2 linked regions of the Drosophila melanogaster genome follow. The protein of the gene in region 1 purifies or fractionates together with the protein of each later gene. This does not show direct contact. Each region holds a gene or a part of one and is shown on either strand. Other genes may lie near its edges.

Region 1 (13,070 bases):
TGAGAGTTGATCGGCCGATTGGCGGCGGAGCGGACAGGCTGAAATATATACATCCAACAGTTGATCGCGAAGCGGCGCAGCCAACGGACGTGTCCAGCTGCGATCTCCAGAAGGCAACCAATCTAATCGAAGAACACGAAATGAATGTATCAATTCCGGTGCTATTTGTGGCCCTCATCTGTCTGGCAGCTGCGTCGGCGTTTCCTCAACTGAGGCAGCGCAACGAGAAGCAGGTTCAAACCGGCGATGATGATTTGCGTAAGTAAAATTCTTAACGCTCGAAAATCTTACAATTCTTAGATTGTAAAACTTCCTAAATACATTTGGAAAATACTTTTCAAATCTGAAATTCTGTAAATATATATAAATACATATCTATCTATAAATTTTTGTGTATACATATGTACACATTCTGTAGTGCGAACAAAGCGTAAAATATTTAGTAAAATAATAGATTGCTCCGAATTTTTTAATAATAAGCTTGCCGATTATTCAGCTTCTATTAATTAAATTAAAATAAATATAAAATATTTTATAAAGTATATACCATTGCATTTTACAGCTTCCAAGGGCGCCACTATCGAGGAAGTAGTGGTGGAATCAGCCTTGTACATCAAACCGAAGTCTAATCCGCAGGTGCGTCGCGTCCGTTCGGTCCTGGATCAAATATCCGGAATCCAGGCCGCTCACAAGAGGGTGAAGCGTCAGTTTGGGCGACAATTTGGTGGTCAGTATGCTGGAAATCCCGGCTTCGGTGGCGGATTCGGTGGAGAGCCTGGTTTTGGAGGTGGATTCGGCGGTAATCAAGGATTTGGAGGCAACCAGGGATTCGGAGGTAATCAGGGTTTCGGCGGTAATCAGGAATTCGGCGGTAACCCAGGATTCGGAGGAAATCCCGGATTCGGCGGTAATCAAGGTGGAAAAGTTCAGGCAGGTACATCGGCCGGCGCTGGGGGAACCAAAGCGGGTGTTGATGTTGGTGCCGGACCAGATGGCGGCAATGCCAATGCCAACGTCGAGTTAAATCCGCTGGGACCACTCGGACCCAGTGGTTACAACCAGGAGCAGGCCGCATCCAACGGAGCTGCCCACAGCAACTACAACAATGGACTCAACTCAGGATCCTCGGCCGCCAGTGGGCAGGCTCAGGGCTTCCAGTCGCAGAGTGCCAATGGATCATTCGGTGCCTCCTCCGCAAGCACGGCCACTCAGTCCCAGAACACCAGCCCCTTTGGATCCAATAATGCGGCAGGTGCTTCGCTGAGTCAGGTTTACCATCTTCCCAATGGACAGACAATAAACTTTAGCTCCACGAACAGCTTCGCTAATGGAGGAGCCAATCGTGGCAGTAGCCATGGATCGGCAGTTTCTGTCAGCCGCTAAAAGCCAAGTTCACCATACAGGGAAAATACCTCCAAGTTAATCTATTTGTCAGCAATCCTATGTGCAAATATCTAAAAAATCCAAATAAATATTTATGATTGAATTGAATTTGAATGAATAATTTGAATGATTTTTTTAAAATCTAAACGGTTGCATTTTGATGATCCAGATTACAAATTACAACAAACTTGAATTGTTCCATACGAAATTTAAAAGCTTAAGACAATATAAGAATTGGCACTGTTGACTACAAAATATTTAGATTCTTGGTATCAACCAGCGAAAGAAAGTTGAAAGGTTTTTTTTATTTTGTTTTTTTTTTTTTTTGTACTACTTTATATAATTATCCTCAGTGTATCCTTGTACAATTTGGTTTCTACTAAAGTAGTACACGAATTTATTATTGCTACAATTAATGCGCGTAAATTGTAAAATGATTGATTTTCATTTGTGCAAACATGCCCAACTGATGATCCTAAAGAAAACTAATCTGACTCGCTTTCGCTTTCCGACTGGAAGTCACCCACTTCGATGGAAAACTTGTACTCCTGATCACAACCCAAATAGGAATCGCTCATGTAGTACAGAGTGTAGTCGTGTTTGCCCGGACTAGGTGCCACAAAGTCCAGCTTGACCTTTGCCTTTTGCTGCAGCGTGAGCCGTTTGATGGAGAGCAGGGAGTTGGTCTTGGGATCACCTATGACGACCCACCATCCTTCTTCGCGCTTCTGCGGGAAGAATGGAGCAATGACTGGGCCAGTGACCTCATCCTCACGTTCCAGTTGAACCACTACATTAACGGTTGATCCTGAGTTGATGCGATCCTTGTCCACCACCTCATAGTTCAGCTCAATGTTGGGGTAACGGTTGCAGAATCGAGCAACATCGGCCATTTGTAAATCGGAGAGCTGCAGCAGGCGAGTGCGATCCTCGTCCTCCAATTCCATGATATCGAAAACGGTTTCGATTTTCTGAAATATACGACGAAACATGAGATAATCCTAGAGATTCACTTGTTGTTACTCTCACCTTCTCTGTGCACCGCTTGACAATCTCGGGACTAAAGTGCGGCAACTGTTTCAAGTACGAGTCCTTGCTCCACATGGCCTGCGTGACCATCTGAGCCAGCTCCATGGCAGCCACAGCCGGCGACAGCCAGCCATTTGAACTCAGCACATCTACGCAGGCCTGAATGAGGCGGATGGCCTTGCTCAGTATCTGCTCCGTATCGCCTTGCAGTTCAGGTCCCAGTTGCAATCGCGAAAGATGAGCCTGAAGCAGCAAATTGGTCTTGATGTGCGGATCATTGAATCTAAAAATAACATTGGTAAAATTCTTTTTAAGATCTAAATGTATGGGTTGCTTACTTTGGAGCCGTTTCATTGGGTCCTGTGAGTTTGTTGGGCAGTCGCTGAGACAGCGTGCGCAGAACCTGCTCCTCATGATGCCTGACCACAACATCCTCGTACTCAGCTGCCGATGAAATAATTTCCAGCAGGCCCCGCACTTTTGTTTTGCTGTTGAGGGACAAACTGAAGAGCTCTGGGAAAAAATGATAGGAAAATGAAGATGACAATTGCCTAAACTTAAATCTAATGCTTCATACCGATAGTTGTGTAGTTGATGTAATAGTAGGCAGCAATCATGCCCAGATTGAGTGGCAGCGTGTCCATATCATCCTCCACGCTAATACACTTGGACTGTTCTAGATCGCTCAGCGTATTCTCCACCAACTCCGAAAGATGGTCGGAGAGATGGCGATGCGTGACACCCTGCAGATTGTAGTAGTTGGGATTTTGGGTCAATCGTCTGTAGAGGAACGTCCAGGTGAGATAATCAACGGCATCCTGTTTGTTCTCAATTGTCTTGGTGACCACCTCGGCGTTAAAGTGATCATGCATTCTATGATCCAAATGACTTTCGATGGGCAGCGGCTCGTTGATGAATTTCTTAAAGAAGTCCTTCTTGCTGCTCTGGCACATCAGCACGCATTTGGCATCCGCATCCTCGTTCGGCCGATTGGCTCGACCAATCATTTGCAGCACGTCTGTAATGGGATAGTCCTCATACGAATGATTCTTGCCATTGTAAAATTGTGTGTCCATGATGATCACCAAGTGAGCGGAGATGCTCATGCCCCAGCAAAGGTCTCTGGAGATAACAGCTACTTGCACGGCGCCAGAGTCAAACAGCTGCTCCACCAGGCGATGATCTGAGGCGGATAGGCCCTCATGGAGATAGGCCACTCCTTGCGCTAGGGTCTCCTTCAAAGTTTTATCCGTCATTCGTTCGAGGAACGGCTTGATGTCCTCCTCCTCAGCATGGAAAAAACGGTTGGGTTGCAAATCCGATGCTGCGTAGGTCAAAACATCAATTGCAGTGAGCCTGGCCTGCTTTCTGGACGAGACAAACACAATCACCGGCTTGTGGGCGCTGTACTTGAGGATGGCATTGTAAACAGGCTTGGACATCGTAGCAATTCTGGTGGCGTTGTGAGTGACATTATAGCCCTGGATGTGCAGCTCCAACGGAATGGGACGCACGCTGGGGTGGAAATTGAAAGTGGCATTGGGATTACAGCCCAGCCACTGGGCGACATCCCTGGCATCCGTTAGCGATGCAGACAACGCCACTATTCTGATCTGTTTCTCAATCTGCGAGCTAATGTATCGCATCCTGGAGCATACAATTTCCAAAACGGGACCTTCTTCGCCACCAACCAACTGCAGTTCGTCCACAATGAACAGGTTCACCAATTGTACGTTCTTCCTCTGTTTCCATCTGCGAGACAACACATCCCACTTATCCGCAGTAGTGATCACCAGCTGTCCCTTGGCTATGAGCTTAAGATCGGTTCCAGTTTCGCCGGTCAATTTAACCACTTTTATGTCCAGGGATCCAAATTTGCTATGCCAATCCGCAAAAACTAAGTCCGCCAATGCCTCCTCCGAGACCAAATATACACATCGGGCATCGGATTGGGTAGTGAACAAGCGCATGATGGCAAACTCTGCAATAGTCATCTTTCCGGATCCGGTTGGTGCTCCAACAAAGACATTCTCATCACTATTGTAGACTGCGTTGAAGACCTGTGTCTGAATGGGATTGAATTGCGGGAAGCGTTGCGAATAAAAGGATTCAAACTTCGGCTGCCGGAGTGCACTAATAGGAAGCGGTTGGAGATCCAAAAGCTCCGTAGGTGGCATATTCTTCTCGGGCAGAATCAAGTGTCGGAAAGAAACTGGTAATTGGGTCTCTGCACCTATCCAACGATCTGAGACAATGCGAAGGAAGTACTGCGGTGGCAGAGGTTCAAAGACAGGCACAAAGAACTTAAGCTGGTGCTCATCTTGGGAATACTTCTGCTTCAGCAGGAAAAACTCATGATGGAGAATGAGTTCCGAGTCGACATCTTCAATTAAAACCCAGAAACCTTCCGACTGGCCATGCACCTTTTCATCCCATTGGAAATCCGGTGTAATTGTTAGTTCCACTCTCAGAGTTCCCCTTGTTATGGGTTGAATGTGCGTGGAGAGCTCCAATTTGGGGAACTGGTGCACAAACTTGTGGATGGTCTTTCCTAGCTTGGGCACTCTAATCAGCTCACCAAGTTCATGTGGCTCTAGATCGTAAAGCCTGCCCCAGGGGAAGTGTTTTTTCTCCAGCTTCTTGGCAATCTCATCGGGCATCTTCTTGAACTGCCTAAGTGGTGTCATCGATTGCCACATTCTTCTGTCGATCATCTTGCAGAGCGTCAACGTTTTGTCCGCCAATTGAGCCCATCCGCGGGTCAATACAATCTCAAAAATGGCTCTCATTAAACGGGCAGCGGATTGGGTAATAAACACCATGTCCGACATCAATGCAAAGCCCTCCAGTTTCAACTGGGAGATATAGGCTTGCAGCAAAACATTCACCTTGGCACTGTGCTCTTCAATGGACTCCTTAATGGGAATGGGCACTCGTTCCATGAGCTTCTGCAGCTCCAACTTTTCCTCTTCTCGGACGGAAATATGCCGGAATTCCGAGGATAGGGAGAATACGCGGAACAACTCAATCTCACTAAGAGTTTGCTTAAGGAGCTGGTTGTAAGTCAGCATGGTTTCATGGGTTAGGTAATAGTGAGAGGCAATGCGTCCCAGATCAGTAACCTGAAAGTGTCCCGTCTTCCGATCGTATTTAATAAGGCCACTTCTCTCCAGACAGCAAGCTGCGGTATGCAGGAGATCAGCACGATGCTGTTCCAACAGAGGATCAGCCTTGATGGCATCATGGGAAACTCCGTACAACGTGGGATTCCTCAGCATTCTAATGTACAGATAAGTGTAGCCCAACCAGTTAACTGCATCCTGGAGATGTTGGACCGTTCCTAGCACAATCTCCGCATTGAGCATGTCAGGAAGCTTGGAGATGAATTGGGACTCAATCGGCAACTGCTGGTTGAGCAAGGAGAGATAGAACTGCAACTCACTGTGATTGGTTATAAGAATACCCTCACCCTTGGTATCATACTGCGGTCGTCCAGCACGACCCAACATCTGCAGTACATCCAAAGCACTCAGCTCCACCCAACGTCCTTTTTCCGGATTGTATACCTGCGTGCCCTTGATGATTACAGTATGGGCAGGGAGATTGACACCCCAAGCTAGCGTGGCGGTGGAAACCAAAACTTGAATGTGCCGATCAGCAAATAGATCTTCCACCAAAGTACGATCGACGCGGGTCATTCCAGCATGATGAATGGCGAAGCCGTAGGGCAATAACTCCTTAAGCTCTGTGTTCTTTACTTGTTCGGCTTCAGTCCGCAGCACTTCCATGCTTGCTGATCCTTCCTTAAGAAAGCTACCAAGGGTATCCTGCTCCAGGCACATGTCCCTCACAGCCCTGGCCGTTTTTCCAGTCTCCTTGCGCGAGTGTACGAAGACCAGGACCTGATTACGCCCAGCATGCTCCATGGTCTTCTCATAAACGATCTCGTTCATCACCTGGAATCGCTTTAGGGCCTTCTTCTCCGTCACACCGATATACTGCTGCTCCAGGGACACAGGCCGATAGCTGTTATCAAAGTAGAAGAGGCCTTTATCGGGCTTTACGCGTAGGAAGGTGGCCACGTCCTGATAGTTGGGCAGTGTGGCAGATAAGCCCACCAATCGCACCTCCTCCTGGGTAGTTTCAATATTCCTTATCGTACGCGCCACCAGGGCCTCAAGCACCGGACCACGCTCGTCGTGGAGCAAGTGAATCTCATCGATGATAACCAACCGGACTAAGCTCACAAAGGTACGCTCGCCTCCCTTTCGAGTGATGATATCCCACTTCTCTGGTGTGCACACAATCACCTGCGTGGCGGCGATCTGTTCCCTGGTCAGCTGGTGATCTCCAGTCAACTCAGAGACCGTCAGATTATAGCAAGCAAGACGTCGTCCAAAATTGCCAACCATTTCCTGCACCAGCGATTTCATGGGAGCCACGTAAATGATTTTGAAATCCTGCGCATTGATGGTGCCATCCTCGTTGATGTGCTTTCCAATCTCCCGCATCATGGTTAGCAGTGCCACATTAGTTTTACCAGCTCCAGTAGGGGCGCACAGCAGCATATTCTCATCACTGTCCAGTGCGGCCTTGTACAAACGACTTTGGATACGATTAAGGGTCTTGAAACCCTCGAACACAGGCTGCACATATTTCGGAAGCTTGTCCACAGGCTGAAGTTCCTCATTGGCATCAAATGGCACGGGTTTCAGTGCAGGCACGTGCACCTCCTCGTAGCCCTTTCGTTGTTTCCTGTAGGAGCCGTCGGGAAGCTGACAGCGCTTGTTGGCCATAAAGTGAGATCCTTGAGTGAATGCCATCTCTTCCAACTCGAGTAGCTGTCGCACACCGGCCACCTGCCCGGCAGCCGCCGCTCCACCATCCTCTGCATCGCCTTTGCCACGCTTGCTTCCCCGTGCTTCGCCCTCCTCCTGATCCTCTGACTTTCCCGTATCCAATTGCCGAAGGATTTTGGCCAACGCAGAATTTCCGCGCATCTTCTCGCGAATCCTTTGCCGCTCGCTGTCCGTTTGGGCCGAGGCGAGCATGGTGCAGTACAGGACCATCTGCCGGTTAAGCTTCAATTGCTTAATGAAGTCAAAGCAATCGTAGCCCAGCAGAAGCACCAATTGATTTTCGCAATCGCGATCGTCGGCGGCATCTTTGAGGATCTTCAACACATCGGCGGCTTTGCTTTGCGACACCATGGCGTCCTTGTAGAACTTGCTCAGACAACGCTGCAACCAATACGCATCTATGTCCAGAGGATGCAAGGAGCGCTCTTTCTTTACATTATTTGCGGCTTCCTCGTTGGCTAGCTGGGAAGGGATACACGAATAAGAAATGGGATTCGCAATTTTAACTACATTACTCACATTCTCTGCATGCAGTGTGTGATCAATGCGGGCCTCCTCTCCTTCATCCTGGGCATCATCGTCGCGAATCTCGCCATACATGTCGTTGTCGCTCTCCTCTTCGGATTCCTCAAACTGAACATTGATGCCGTAGGTTTCATCGATCTGCTCCTCGTTGTTGGGAGCAGCAGTCAAAGCATTCACGGCATCGCTGCCAAAGTCTGTGATTTTTTTGCCCAGGTTAACCAGCAGAGCGAATCGCTCATCTGTAACTGCGCCCAGCAAGCTGTCTATATCCTTCTTTCGCTCCCGATCCTTTAAACGATCGTTCTTGAGGACAGCCAGAATCTCATCAGCGGCACCGCACAGGATATCCCTGGGCTGATCCCCCAGAGCCTCCTGGATGAAACTGAGCAGGACCTCGTAGGTCTGACGAGTTTCCTGGGTCTTGGGTCGATACACAATGCCCACCATCTCGTCAATGCCCTCGGAGAGCAGAGTGGCTCCCTTCATCCGCTCGAAATCGTACTGGGCCTCGTCGCGCTTCTGACGTTTCACCTTGCGCTCCTCCGTTTTCTCCGGCTTCGTTCGCTGGTACCGATCTCCCATCCTTGTTCCGTCCAGCTTTCCCACCAGGGAACACACCTCGCCAGTGGCCTCATCGCGGCGCGGACGTTCGATGAGTCGGACATCGGCTTGCAGCACAAGATTGGAGTTCTGAAAAATGGAAAATACATTTAACGTGTTTGTGAAATTCTGGTGAGACGCCGCATGGAGTGGGAGAAGTTTTCCCGGGCGGGATTTGACACTTACCGCCTTGTACTCGTATTGCAGCTGACGTGCTGCGGCATCCGCCATGTCTGTTTAGTTGTTTTTATAAGTATTAAGCACTTTTATTAACCTATTTTACAACTTTTTGCGGAAATATCGTAGTGAAAAGCCGCTGTTTGTGGCTACGCGTGCTGCCAGATTGTCAAAAGGCTAAAGAGATGCCATATGTGCGAAGCCAACTGAAAATCGATATCAGGGCTGCCATTTGTAGGAAACCTATCGTTAGCGCGCGCATCTAAGTTTTTAAAAATGTAGCCCATCAACATTCTATTTAAAATTTGAATACTGGTTTTTTAGCTTTTGTAAACACCAAAATTTCCTACGCACTAGCAATCCACAAAAGAAATTGCTATAAATTTGACCATAATTCTCATAATTGAGATATATCTAGTATATTTTAAGTTCCGAACTGCGGCTTCGGTCACACTGGCGGCGACGTCGGCAGCGATGCCGACGTCTATTTACAACGCATCGTTTTGTTTATTGTTCAGTCAGATCAGAGTAATGTGCTTATATATGAGGCTGCAGCTGGTTTAACTGGAAACATTTGTGGTCCGTCGACTGCTCGAGATCATTGTACACGGCTGACACAATTCATTACAAAGCAATCGAAGGTAAACCAGTGAAGAGGAACAAGTGCCAGCATGCTGCTGCCCCCGTACCAAGAAGCCTGCAATCCCGGCTTCTGTGATTGCCCGTTTCCCAACTCCATTGAGGTTACCAACCACAAGGGCCATATACCCGACCTGGTCAGGTGCCAATGCGGCGAGGATGAGTCCGGAAACGTGAATGCCTGGCGGTGGCACGCCACTGATGAATCGGATGCCGTGGTCACCGACCGGGACATCATCTTCCATCCCACCTACAGTCAGGGCACGGCGATTGTGAGAGGGGAACAGGCCCTAAAAACAAACATGGTGCACTTTTGGGAGATGCGCGTCATCACGACTCTGGCCGGCACGGATGTGGTTAGTTATCAGGCCGGCTTGGCAACTAGTTGGGATGCTCAGCATGATGAATGTCACTCAAAGTCGCCGCCTTAAAATAGAACACAACTAACCAGGCATCTGGTGTGCTCGTTTCCATTGGAGACGACTTGATTGTTCGCTTCGTTGTATTATGGATTACAGATTACAACGCGGCGATAAGATAACAGACGCAGCGGGAGGAGGAAATCTCAGCAGACACCCCAACTAGATGATAAGCCAGCTAAAGTTCAATGTAAATAATGTTCTCTTTATAATTGCCTTTCTTTTCTTATAACTTTTCCTAGATGTTCGGCATCGGCACGGAAAGCGTTAATCTAGGGCAGTTCAAGTTTCACTTTGTCTCGGCCCTGGGCACCAATGCCCAGTCCTGGGGCTTTTCGTATTCCGGAAGGATTCAGCACTGTGGCGAGTTACTGCCCTACGGCCAGAAGTTCTCGCAGGGCTGCTTGATTGGTGTCTGTTTGGATCGAACGCGTGGGCACTTGGAGTTCTATTTGAACCGCAGATCGCTGGGAGTGGCCTACACCAATGTCCCGACGGATCCGGATGTCAAAATATATCCCATGGTCTGCTCCACAGCCGCGAAGTCCGTAATTAGGCTGATCAACTGCACTTCGCAACCAGTCACACTGCAGCTGCGATCTTTCCAAGCATTGTCCAGGCAGCCGCTCAAATTGGCCGAACTGCGTCAAATGCCGGGTCTCAAAGGCATCATGCAATCCTACTGGTTCCTGGCACCGCCAATTCGTTACTCCCGGAACTCCCGCGAAAACGAATTGGATCTGGGCGACGAAGCAGTGCTCTCAAGCTCCAAGCAACGGTTGAGGCGCAAACAAAAGTACCGAGGTGAGGTCACGAAGTTACGTCCACTATCATTTCTGCCACATCACTTTTGCAATTTCAATTAATAGAAACCGACGATGCGGCTGTTGATGAGGACGACTTGTACGCCAATGCACACAAAATCACGTTGCGAAGCAGTGATAGCGGCGACGAGGAGCACACCGCTAGTGTCCACGAGATGTGCGACGAGTACTTCCACTACCTGCTTTAGTCTTACCAAGCATATCAATATGTTTAAGTATGCATTTATTTGAAGGAGCTTAGTTATAAATGTAATAAGTAGAAATGCTGAAGCTAATTTTAATTACTGTAAGACTTCCTAAAATACAACTTATTAATTAAACGAAACATCATAATTTTCCCATTTTGATATATTTAAAACCATTTCCTTTATACGCTAGCAGCGATGTATTCATTTAGGTACCGATTTAAATAAGATCTTTGTTACTAATTCCAGCCTGGTCTAGGTTGAACAATCTCTCAAGGAGCAATCCGCCGTCCATTAATGACAAGTTTTTCGATTTACTTTATGTTAGGTATGCATTTATTTTAAAGCACATAATTATACAATCAATAGAATTGGGAGAAATAAATGGTGTGTGCGAAAATAATTGAATAGGAAACTTAATCGAGAACCTACAACTAGAAAATTAGTATAGATAAAAGTGATAGCATGATAGGTTAGATGGTTAAAAAAACCCGTAGGCTAGGGTTTTGGTAAGCATCGTCCTTGAAAGTAAAACTTAAACTAATTAATAATCAATTGCCCATGCCTTCGACATCCGACGATCCGCGCTTGAAGATCACTCCCAACGGTAGCTAGTCCATGTCATCGTCGTCATCGTCTGAAATAGTGTACTTCTTTTGGGAGCGCTTGCGACGCGTCTGCTTCTTGGATGTGGTAGCCGCTCCGCTGCTCACATTCGACGATGATTGCGTGGGCGTAGCGGGCGCACTAGCCAGAGATTTGTTCAGTTTCAGCTTCATTTTGACAGCCGCCGCTGAAGTGGTTGCAATCTCCTCGTCGTCGGAGCCGTCATCGCCACCATCGTCGTCGTCGTTGTCCGAATTATCCGAACCTCCATTGCCGTGCGCTTCACCCGTGTTATCTCCGGCTGCCACTGCGGCTGCATCCGCTGCAGCTGTTATCCTCTGCCTGGCCCCAACGAATACCTTTTGCAGGGCAATCGAGTCCAGGTAAATCAGAGACGCCTCTTCGTTGTAGATCTGTGCATTCTGGCATAGCTGCATAAAGTCCTTCTCCAGCTCGTTGAGATCGGCATACTTGCAGTCCTCAATGCGCTGCAGGATTTTCTTAATATCAACTGGCCGCTTAATGATCTCGTAGTAGTCGGGCAACCTCTGCCGCGAAGGCAACTTCATGAACGGTTCGGACAGGGTTCGTCCATCTTGGTTGTGCTTGATAACCGCACTCATAATCTTGTGCATCTGCTTCTTGGACCGCTTGTCCAGATTTTGGCGTCGTCGCCGTTTTAGGATCAACGAATCATCGTCGGACTCTTCCTTCCGATTCTTACGCTTTCGTCGCTTGCGCTTCGAATCGTCTTCCTCCTCTTCCTCGTCGAACTCAGCGCCATCGTCGATGGCTTTCAGCCACTCCTTTTCAGTCAAACTATCGGTGTAGTCTACTTCCTTTCGCTGCCGGGAGCCTCGACCTAAGGCGGAATAGTTATCGTAAGAAAAATGTTTAAATAACAGCGAGCAGTGTAACTCACCTAGAATGGTATCCTCGTCGTACTGATAGTGGAAACGCTCTACTTCGTCATCATCCTTTGTCAACCAGTCGGGTAGCTCGGACTCATCGATCAGACGTTCCCTACCCGGATGGATCTCCTCATCCTCCTTCTTGCGCTCAGCATCCATGCGCTTAAATATTTCAATCTCCTCCTCGCTGCGGGCGATCATCATGTTGATCATTTCGTCATCGGGCACCTCATTTTCCTCCTCCTCTTCGTTGTCATCCTGGTGCAGAATCGTTTGTAGGAACTGCTGTCGCTCGCTACCCGTTGACTTCTGATCGAACATACCAGCCTGGATGACCTTCTCGTCCATGTTCAGCTTGTACCTGGCTGCTGCCAAGATGCGCTCTTCCACCGAGTTGACTGTCATTAGTCGCAGGACGCGCACCTCGTTACGTTGACCAATACGATGGGCACGATCCTGGGCTTGCAGATCCTGATGGGGATTCCAATCGGAGTCGAAGATTACTACAGTATCGGCGGTCTGCAGATTAAGACCCAAACCACCAGCTCGGGTAGATAGCAAAAAGACAAATACATCCGAGCCTTTGGCGTTGAATTTTCGCAGTAGTTCGCCACGATCCTCGGCCTTCGTGGTACCGTCGAGTCGAAGGTAGCCGAATTGGCGCCATCCCAGGTAGTCTTCGATGATGGTCATGCATTGGGTCATCTGACAGAAGAGCAGCACGCGATGATTGGTCGCCTTCAGCTTGGGCAGGATGCGATCAAGCAGCTCGAATTTGCCAGAGACACGATACAGATCCGGTCCTTTAATTTGAAAAAGATTAGATTATACCAATGTAAATATAAATATACCAAAAAATTAACAAGATAAACTTACCGGATACAACTCCGTGGCCGCCAGTGTGATCGCAGTA
Region 2 (9,868 bases), about 14 Mb from region 1:
GTGCAAGGAATTAATAAAATTAATTTGTAGTCACCATTAATATATTATAATTTAATAACTCTCTTAACCTGAATTGATTCCGATATATGTGTGTGCTTATGTGAGGTGTATTTATTTCGATAGCGTGACTTGACCAAATCACTGTTACTTCAGAATTGCAGCTGAACACATAAACAGCTGTCGCAGCTGAGCTGTGTTGAAAAATTCAGTCGAAGGGAGTTTATTTGTATAAATACCGAAACAATGGTGGATCCCAACCGAAAGATAAACCGTCTGGTCGAAAGGGACCTGAACTTCCTGGAGTCCTGCGAGCTTGAGTTCGCAGACCGCTTCACTGACGACGACCCAGAGTTCATGGCGCACTGCAGCAAGCCTGTGCCGGAGCCGCCAATTGTGGAGAACTGGATGGGAGGTGGCGGAGGAGGAGGCGGCTTCCAGGGCGGAGGAGGCGGTGGTCATCCCTACCACAATCGCTACAACGGACATCGCAGAGGAGGCGGCGACAGGGGCTGGCAGCGACGAGGAGGAGCTGGCTACCACAACAACCAGGACAGGGGATTCAGGGGTAATACCCGGGAAGAAGCTCAGTTTCTATTTATAGCTTACCAACGCATTTGTTCCCACAGACAACCGGCGCAACAACAGATACGATCACATCGATCGCCGGAATCGGTACGAAGGAGGCGGAGGGTCCGGAGGATCTGGAGGCTACAAGCGCTCCCATGATCATAACCAGAGAAATGATACTCCCAATAACGAACCACCCATGAAGGTCAGACGCGACTATGGAAACTTTGTGCCTGCATCCAAGGATTAGTTATCGAATATATCAAATAAGAATACTCTGCATTACATTGAAATATTCACATTGACGTTTATTTAATGGACTTAAGACTATACTAATTCCTGTAATCCCGCTTAAACGGCCGACTCAGATATATCCTTTTGTTCCTTGTCCTCGACAGCCGACATGCCCACGCCCATGGCGCTAAACAGATTGGATACAGGACCTGCGCCGCCAACCTGCGATTGGTAGCTATCCATCATGTTGCGCAGCGTGTTTACGTTTATATTGATGGGCTCAAAGTCCTCAATGTCATCGAAATCGTCCTCGTCCGCCTGTGGAGCTGTCTTCTTCTTGCCGTGGAAGGACTTGCCCACGCTGGTCTGAGCCAACTCGCGGTCCATCTGCTCCATATACGATTGAATCTGTCGATCGAGTGGGAACACACTGCCGCCTCCAGAAAGTGCATTTAGATTACTCTCCATGTCGTCCTCGTCCGCGTAGTCGCTCATCTCCGAGGTGGAGTCCCAGTTGTCCTCGGGTATTACGAAATCCAGGAAATTCCGCACATGGGTGCTGTCCGGTTCCTCCGGCTGGATGACGGAATTGCGCTGGCACGCCTTGCGCATGGAGGGATTCTTCTTGACCTTTGCTGTCAGTCCTGTGGAACCGTTTGCCTGCGGCGGCGGCTCGTCATCGTCTGAGTCCAGTTCTGGCTCCTCGAGCCCTCGGTGCTCAATGCCCTCGTAGTTGGACTGCCGATCTAAGAACTCCGCCAGCTGCTTGGTGAACTCCTCGGCATTCATTTGTCCGTTCGGCTTGTAGAGCTTCTTGGGTCCGTAGCGATCCTGCAGCATGGAGTCTAGATCCTCAGCGCTGATATTCAACCACTCATCCGAGTCGCTGGGCTGCAGGTTGTTCTCCTCATCGCGCAGCTCCTCGGAAGCAGCCTCCGCTGGATGGAGCAACAGGTCGAGGATCTCGGCACCCGCTCTGGAGGCTGTGCGGAAACGCTCCTGGTTGCCACGAAAGTACACCTTGGCCTTGTTCAGCAGCTCCTGGTACTCGGCACTGCCCTCGATGTTGTCCCGGAAGTAGCCCTTGCTCAGCAAGCTCCGCAGATACGATCGCCAGGCAGGAAGGTCCTCCAGCTGTTGGCCCTCAACCCGCTTGGCTTGAGTGGCCAGGATCTCCAGTCCACTGGCCAGCTTCAAGCCCAATAGTTGTTCCTTATATCGTTCCGGCTCGGATACAGGATCCGTGAGATGCCAGCCGAGTCTCTTCTCGGGCAGATACTGCTGGTGCGACAACATGGCGTACAGACAGCGGGTGAAACGCACGTTGGTGCGCACGCGTGTGGCCTCCGGTGGGAAATATCGCATGGTGCGAAGTGCCTTGATGTCCAGCGAGTCCCGCTCGCAGAAAGCCCTAACCGCCGAGGAGAGCAGCCTTGGCTTCTGTTTCAGAAGCTGTGCAGCGCTATGCGGGAGCTCCAGCACCTGGCGATGAATGGAGAAGTGCGGCTGAGCGATCTGGTACTCCTTAAGCCGCGCGTCAATGCACGACTGTATCTCCTGCGAGCAGCGGTACAGGGTGGGATTCATTCGTATACGTTGCACAGCCATGGCCATGGTCAGTGGCTTGTCCTGGCTGCTGGCGGCGGAGTTCTGGAGAAGCTGCAGGTGACCACCGACCAGATAAACGCGCTGCTCGCACGTTTCCGGAGACGCCCAGTCGGGCAGGGCGTCCGCCGCCTCGATGAGCAGGAACTCGCCATCCGAATCGCTCACCCGTGCAATGCAGTCGCCGCGTGCACGTGTGATCTCCGTGAGCAGATAGACAACGAACCACTCGTCGCTGATGTTGTCGCCATAGTGGGTTACGCCGTGGAAGTGCGGTGGGAGGTCGCCTGGGCGGGGACATGGAAATGGATGATTTCGAATTGCAGAAACAAAGCTATTTATAGCACATTGTGCGCATACCCAGTTCCGCCTCCTCCTCCGGGTTTGTCTCCTCGTTCAGCAGGCGCTCCTCGGCGCCGCCCAGCCTCACCTGAAGCTGAAACTCGTCCTTGTGCCACAGATAGCTGCGCTCTAAGGACTTTTCCCTTACAATGGCCGAGATCTCGTTGCGGATCTGAAGCATCAGTTTGCGCAGCGCGCCCTCATCCTGTACGTTGTCGGGGATCTTGGGAAAGATGTAGTACTCCACGAAGTCCTCCTCGCGGACGAACTCCAGATTGCTGCCTGGAATCTTGCTCATCCTTTGTCCTTTTGCTCCTCCTCCTTTTTTTTATTTGTTAGGGCGTTCGAGGTGACACTATCGACATGAGTGCGTGCTTCCGAACTGACTATCGTTCAAAGAAGTTCGTTCACACTGGTCGCGCAGCAGGGTTCCGCTTCAGCAGAGCGGTGGAGGACGTGGCTAAGCGCTTAGCGGTGACCCAACCCATTCCCGTTATTTCTCTCAGCGATTTTTTATGATTGAAGATTAGGTATGAACCGAAGATTAGGCATTAAATTCCTTTACTAAAAGTGCATATTTACAAAAGCTAGCGGTCAGTTTTATTGAAAGAAATGGTATTTAAATATTTACTCGAGAGCACTTTAAAGTGCTCTGAATAAGTCGGCCAAACAAAATCCCGACTTGTTTACACATTAAACACCCACTCCACTTGACACTCCAGCTAGTTGGACCAATTTTTAGTAAATGTCGTTCACTCACCCATCATTGCGGCATTCCGATCCGCGTAGTTGTTGTAATTAGAAACGCCGCTGCGTTTGCCACTTTGCCCAACTCCCATCGCCTTTTCAAAGTTGATAGATAGACAAACAGACACCCAAAAGATATAAAACGCTATCTAAAGTCTGCTATTTCGGGACTTTTATTGCTGTCACCATATGAGTCTGAATCAGACAATCGAAGATTCTCGTGGAAGTTGGACCTAAACTAACCAGAAACAAAGTCCAAAAGGGGAAATACATCGTCATGTTCTTGGAAAGAATACTAGTGAGCGTGGTAGGTAGTTTTTCAGAATAGGATAAACTTAAGTGAATGGCATTTGATTTTTATGTCCCCACCGCCCAACAGTTACTGCTCAACCTGGTGGCTCTGCTTATGGGAGCCACTGTTACCACCCGGCGCATCCAGCCGCGGGAGACAAACTCCTGCGAGGGCCGTCAGAGTCCCGGGCCCATCTGCGAGTCCTGCGAGCTGCTGGCCACCTGCGTGCGTCACTCCAACGGATGGGTGAACATTCCCGTGGAATCGTGCGACGTGGCTAATGGATACTACTGCAACGCCCGGCTGGGGAGCTGCACCAACGAGACGGGCCCGTGTCATCCGTTCGGCATCGAGGGCAACTTTCAGTGCACCTCGCAAGGCATCTTTCCAGATCCGTACGACTGCCAGAAGTACCACATGTGCTACTTCGTGGGGGCCACTCTGGTGGCTGCTGCCGTTGATTGCGGCAACGACAAGGCCTTCGATGCGACGACTGGCCAGTGCACTTTGACCCTGACTGACTCCGTCTGCCTGCAGCGACAGTACTACTGCCCCAATGCCGGACACGTGGCCGCCTGGCCCACCAATCCCAATATCTTCTACGTGTGCAAGTCGACGGTTAACCAGAACCTGAACGACACCATCGTCATCTACCCCTCGCTGCACAGGTGCAACGATGGCGAGACCTTCGTGGACTACGTCTGCCGCAGCGGATCGAATGTCCTGCCGCCCAGCACCGATGATCCTTCGGTGATCATCGAGGATCCCAACGACGACGACTTTTCGGTGCTGCCCAACACCTGTCAGCACGTGGGCTTGATGGCCGATGGAAACGACTGCCGGAAGTACTACTACTGCTCGGCTCTAAATGGCACCCTGCGGCACATGGACTGCCCCAATGGGACTTACTACCGACCGGAGCTATCCTCCTGCGTCCTGGGAAGCTGCTGAGGAAGATGCATTCCTGCACTTTATTTATTCCTCTTCAATGGATTACATTTAATAAACAACTCATGTTTACCCTGGAATAACAATCTATTTGACATGAATTTATGAATTCCCATTTCAAAAGGTATCAGTTTGATAATAAAGATTCAACCACCATGTCCGTGGGTAATTAAACCAGAATGAGTTCTTTGTTTTTTTCCAATAAAAGTGCAATAGAAATGGACTAGTACTGTCTTGGTTCTTTCTTGCTAAGAGTGCTGTGACTAGGTCATAAATGTTCCATAGAATGTTTTTTTCGTGACAACATTGCAGTTTATCTATTAATTATACCGAAACATTCTGCGTTTGGTTGTGAGGTACTATATAAGGCGGAGTGTGAAGAGGTCTACTTAGAAAGTTTGCAACATGGATTCATCTCGCCTGATTATCTGCCTCCTAACTTTTCTGTTGTTTCAAACGGGAAAAGGGTTGGGGAACGGCAGTTATCTGGAGCTCAGATTGGATGCAGCTGCTGAATCCTGTCCAGATGATTACTACTTTAACGAAACTATCCAAGCCTGCGTATCTACAGACACTACCAGCTGTACCAATCACCAAATCGGCAAATGTCCGATGGCCACAGAAATGGACGAGTTTTGCGTGTGCAAAGATAAGCACCTTCAGATCTGGAAATGCCCTGAAGGAACCTACTTCGATGCCAACCGATTGGTCTGCCGGGTGGGAAGCGTTGAGTGCCAGGACGATTATACTCCATCCCCATGTCCTAACAGCACGGCAAGCGATGTCTTCTGCCTCTGCATCGATGGCAAATGGCATCTTAACTACTGTCCAACGGGCTTTACCTTTGATGACGAGCTGCAGATTTGCCTGAACACAGGATCTGATGACGACGAGTTGCCCAGTTCGTCTGGAAAGTGCCAGCGGCTTGGATTGTTTGGTGATCCCGCTGACTGCTCTGGGTACTATCATTGTCGCGAAAAGGGCAGTGATATTGAGTATTTCAGATGCTCGGTAGGAACCATCTTCAATCTAATTTCCTTTGCGTGCGTTACTGGAACTTGTTGACCCAACATATTATAGTTATTGTAGCTAGCCTATCTTGGAATAAAACTGATTAAAACTGATTAAACTATTTTCAATGAATTCCGGATTTATCAGTTCGCAGTTTCGATGATACTCTTCGAATAATTACAATTTTAGCTACGCTTAGTAAGTTTTCTAAATTTATTATTACGTCGTAAAATTTTGGTTCTTTATCAAATCGATAATACCTAGAGAAGCTTATCTGTTTAATTAAGAAAAAGACACTTGCCTGGCTGATTAGGTGGTGCTATAAAAGCTAGTCCCGCAGATGACCCAGCCAACAGTCTTCAAGATGAGGTCTTCAGTACCGGTTTGTCTAATCCTGCTCGCTCTGGCGTTGGGATCGGCGTGGGCTAATGATAATCCCTGCCAGGATGTGCGCATTCCCGGCTTCGTTTGCATGAACTGCACCACCTTGGGCTACTGCATCCGCGATGCCACCGGCAGCTGGGAAACGATTTCGATGCTGGGCTGCCAATCGGAGTACAATTTCTATTGCAGCGACGAGGGTACCTTCGGATGCACCTTCCAGTCGCAGTGCCAGGTGCCCAAGAGAGGTCCCTTCAGCTGTCAGCAGGCGGGCCTGTTCCCGGATCCGTACGACTGTAGGCGGTACCACGAGTGCAGCGATCAGAGTGTGGACACCCCTCGCATCTGCTCCAACGGAGCGGGCTACTCCACACTCACGGGCACTTGTGTTCTGCCACGGGAGAGTGAGCAGTGCATCCAGGAGCAGTTCACCTGCAGTCGGTCGGGACAAGTGGGTGGATGGGCGCCCGACAATCGGTACTTCTACGTCTGCGTCAATGACACGGCCAATTCGCTGTATCCGCTGATGATGAAGTGCCACGAGGGATTCGTTTTCAACAGCTACAGCTGTGTGCCCGACACCAGGAGCATGAGGAGCATTCAGGCGATGGAGTCCCACACGTGCATGAACAACGATAGGTACCAATGCCCCTTCCGAACCTCTGAGATCGAGTACTGCAAGTGCGTCGATGGAGAACTGGAGGTGATGACCTGTCCCGCCGGCTTCCAAATTGATCCTAAGATCCTGACCTGCGTGACTGATAGGATCTATCAGTGCTCGGACTTTGAGATCCTCAGCTGTCCCAATGTCTCCACCAAGGATGAGTACTGCATATGCATCGATCACCAGCTGCAGATCTACAGCTGTCCAATGGGACAGTATTTCAATGCTGAGACTCGAAAGTGCCAATCAGAGTCAGAGTAATGAATTGTTTTCATGGTACCAATATTGATTCAAGTAAATGCCTATTTAAAAAATTGAAATCATTCTGAACATTTTAAGATAAACTACAAATAACTATAAATATTCACCAAAATTTTAATGAGACCCAGTAACGACAACAAATCAGTTTGAATCTTAAGCCTAAGAAAGTGGAGGGATACGGACTCAATCGTCACATTCCCGCACCACAGGATGCAGGACGATCGAGGCTCCGTTGCAGCCCGTGCGATCCGAGATGAAATCGTGGAAGTTGCTCTCCAGCGCCCACATGAATCGCTTGTGACCCGGGAGCACTTGGGTGGACAGCCGGCAGTCGCCTCCCCGCTGCACCTCCTGCAGATTGGCGGCCTTGAAGCAGGTCTCCGAGTCCCACAGGTAAATGTCGTTCTCGCCCTTGTAGCGGAAGAAGAGCGAGGTGCCGCCGTCGGCGCCCAGCAGCACCGCCTGTTTGCCATAGGGCTTGGGGCCCACGTCGATGATGGAGCCCGCTCCCTGGCCAACGCGCAGGTACTCGCCCTTGATGGAGTACAGACGGGGGGAGCTCAGGTAGCTGAAGAACAGGGTGGAGGTGCCGTCCGGCTTCGAGGTGAGCGCCACGTACAGCACATCGCTGGTGGGGGCGGTGGCCTTCGGCAGGACGATGCGGTAGGACTTGTTGCCGGTGATGTCGTATACCAGGATACTACGTGCTCCAGCATCGGCCACATAGCTATGGTTGAAAGTGAAGGAAATATAATGTGGAATGAGATTAGATATCATGTATGCAATACAAATCGATTTTATTTGGTATATGATGAGCCACACTTCTGAGAACTACCTTGAGCAGATAAGATATGAGCCTCAAAGTGGCTAATGCCCTTTTGATTGGCTCAATGATCGCTGATTGAAAGCATGATTGAAAGTGTGTGGTAAAAGTACTCCAAACTCTTGATTCAGTTCGATGATTTCAACGAATATTTTATGACTGCAATATGAATCTCTGAATATCATTGTGCTGATAAATAATGGTTAGTAATAATGGTTAATAATAATGTAATGTGTGGTATTAATTTCATAGTTGATGTATTTCAAAAAGTGATTAAGTACAACTCATTTCACAGATGAAGTTAAGGGTAATAAAAGAGTATAGGCAATGGAACTCACACGAATGGCTTGTTGTCCTTGGAGTAGTCGACCACGATGAACTGCAGCCGACTCTCGGAGGTGACCAGGTCGCTGAGGTCGATGCTCTTGACCACCTTGTGGTTGGCCGTGTTTATGGCCACGATCTTGGGACTGCATCTGCGGATGGGCTGCTCCAGGGTGTTGACAATGCCCACGTCCAAGGCCCACAGAAGTCCCTGCGAACGGAGAAGGCAATTATTAATTGCTATCAATTGCAGCTCGTGTTGATTGTTGTTAATGTTTTCATTTGGCGGCTAATTGAAATGTTGGCGGCGTTAAAAATTCCACATTCGCAAATATGTGGCCATAAAATGAGTATCAGCGAAAAGCACTGAATGGAAAATTGCGCAAATAAATAAATACAGTCGCCTCGTTTGTTTGCCGTTTGTTATTGTTTCGTCGACTTTTGTGTAAATAAAATAAAGAAATGATTTGCATAAATGCAGCTAAACGGGAATGGCATTTAAATGAGAACGATTCGACGCCAACAATAATTGAAGGAAATTATTAAGTTGCAGCTTATGCTCGCAATCGTAAGTAGGTCATGTAAATATTTAATAGCATCATTGTAATATCTGCGAATGCATCTGTCATTTAAAATTAAAGCTGAGAACTTCTGAAGTGCAATCGAAATGCACAAAACACGGCTGGATGGCCTGTTCCCAGCATTTCCAAAATTATTTTCGAGAACTTTTCACTGCATTTGCTTGTCACTTTTCAGCTGCAGTCCTTGTCCTTTATAATATTCCATTTACCCCACAGCTTTTTCGGCGTTTCCGTATCCGTTTATTCTACCCTTAAATTGCTGCCGCCAATTGACGGGCATGAATTTTATTTGGAGCTCTTCACTTTTGTGGCCCCGTTTATTTGATTAAAAAAGTAATATTTGGTCGACAGCGAGGCTAACCAATTAAAAAAGTGCGTCCGGCAAGGGGTTAATGCGAAAACGATACCCTGGAGCTAAACTCCCGATTTTGATCGACTTTGTAAGGGCTAGCAAATATTTAACACTGCGACTGCACATCAATATCAATATCAGAAGATAAACTAAATCATTTTTAGAAAAAAAAAGTGAATAGCCCTAAGAGCATTTCAATGCTACCCTGTAATCCACCCACGATACAAATATGAATTAAACATTTGGTGTGGGTTAAAGTGCTATGCCTCCATGGTGGCCAACAACGAGCAGTCCGTAATTAAAGGCAGAACTGGCAGTTTGGACGAGACAACTTGTCTGACCCCCAAAAAAAAAATGGTCCAAACAATACTGGCGTTAATTGCACTCACATTCTGATCGACGGCTATGTCCACGACGGACTGCAGCGCCTGGCAGTTGCCCTCCTCCTGAATGGCCCAGCAGGGATAGGGTGCGATCTTGGTCAGGCACTCGCCCTTCTTTAGATTGACCTTGCCGAGAGTGAAGGGCACGCCCTGCTTGTACCTGGGCAGCGCCACGAAGGCGGAGTCCCGCTGCAGTTGGGCCCGGGTCACGATCACGTTACGGGGCACATAGCGGCCGGACTGGACGTAGATGTTCTTGGTGGACTCGCAGGGCCAGTGGAGGCTGCTGCCGCTGAGCTGGAAGGTCAGTTCGTTCAGCGGGTTCTTGTCGCACTTGGTGCCGCCAATGGAGT

What was found.
Region 2: the proteins of Brr2 (region 1) and ecd purify together in Drosophila melanogaster (affinity purification with mass spectrometry; 2 studies listed by BioGRID, with this or other methods). This does not show direct contact.

Annotation. Positions count from the first base shown.
Region 1 is NT_037436.4:15,959,126-15,972,195, forward strand, and holds Brr2 (Brr2 U5 snRNP complex subunit), read right to left. Parts: upstream 8,748-13,070; 5' UTR 8,628-8,747; coding exon 8,583-8,627; intron 8,487-8,582; coding exon 7,791-8,486; intron 7,734-7,790; coding exon 2,990-7,733; intron 2,926-2,989; coding exon 2,751-2,925; intron 2,696-2,750; coding exon 2,413-2,695; intron 2,355-2,412; coding exon 1,869-2,354; 3' UTR 1,711-1,868; downstream 1-1,710. Other genes in the region: CG17032 (uncharacterized protein), read left to right, coding at 141-258, 563-1,383; CG10516 (uncharacterized protein), read left to right, coding at 9,245-9,568, 9,874-10,435, 10,501-10,643; brm (brahma), read right to left, coding at 11,252-12,108, 12,169-12,960, 13,034-13,070. UniProt on the Drosophila melanogaster protein: Catalyzes the ATP-dependent unwinding of U4/U6 RNA duplices, an essential step in the assembly of a catalytically active spliceosome. Plays a role in pre-mRNA splicing.
Region 2 is NT_037436.4:2,262,730-2,272,597, forward strand, and holds ecd (ecdysoneless), read right to left. Parts: upstream 3,129-9,868; 5' UTR 3,047-3,128; coding exon 2,767-3,046; intron 2,694-2,766; coding exon 919-2,693; 3' UTR 852-918; downstream 1-851. Other genes in the region: CG13807 (uncharacterized protein), read left to right, coding at 244-565, 627-817; CG13806 (uncharacterized protein), read left to right, coding at 3,773-3,802, 3,875-4,738; obst-I (obstructor-I), read left to right, coding at 5,141-5,800; CG32302 (uncharacterized protein), read left to right, coding at 6,111-7,052; yellow-g, read right to left, coding at 7,236-7,779, 8,214-8,410, 9,522-9,868. UniProt on the Drosophila melanogaster protein: Required in both the follicle cells and the germline for oocyte development.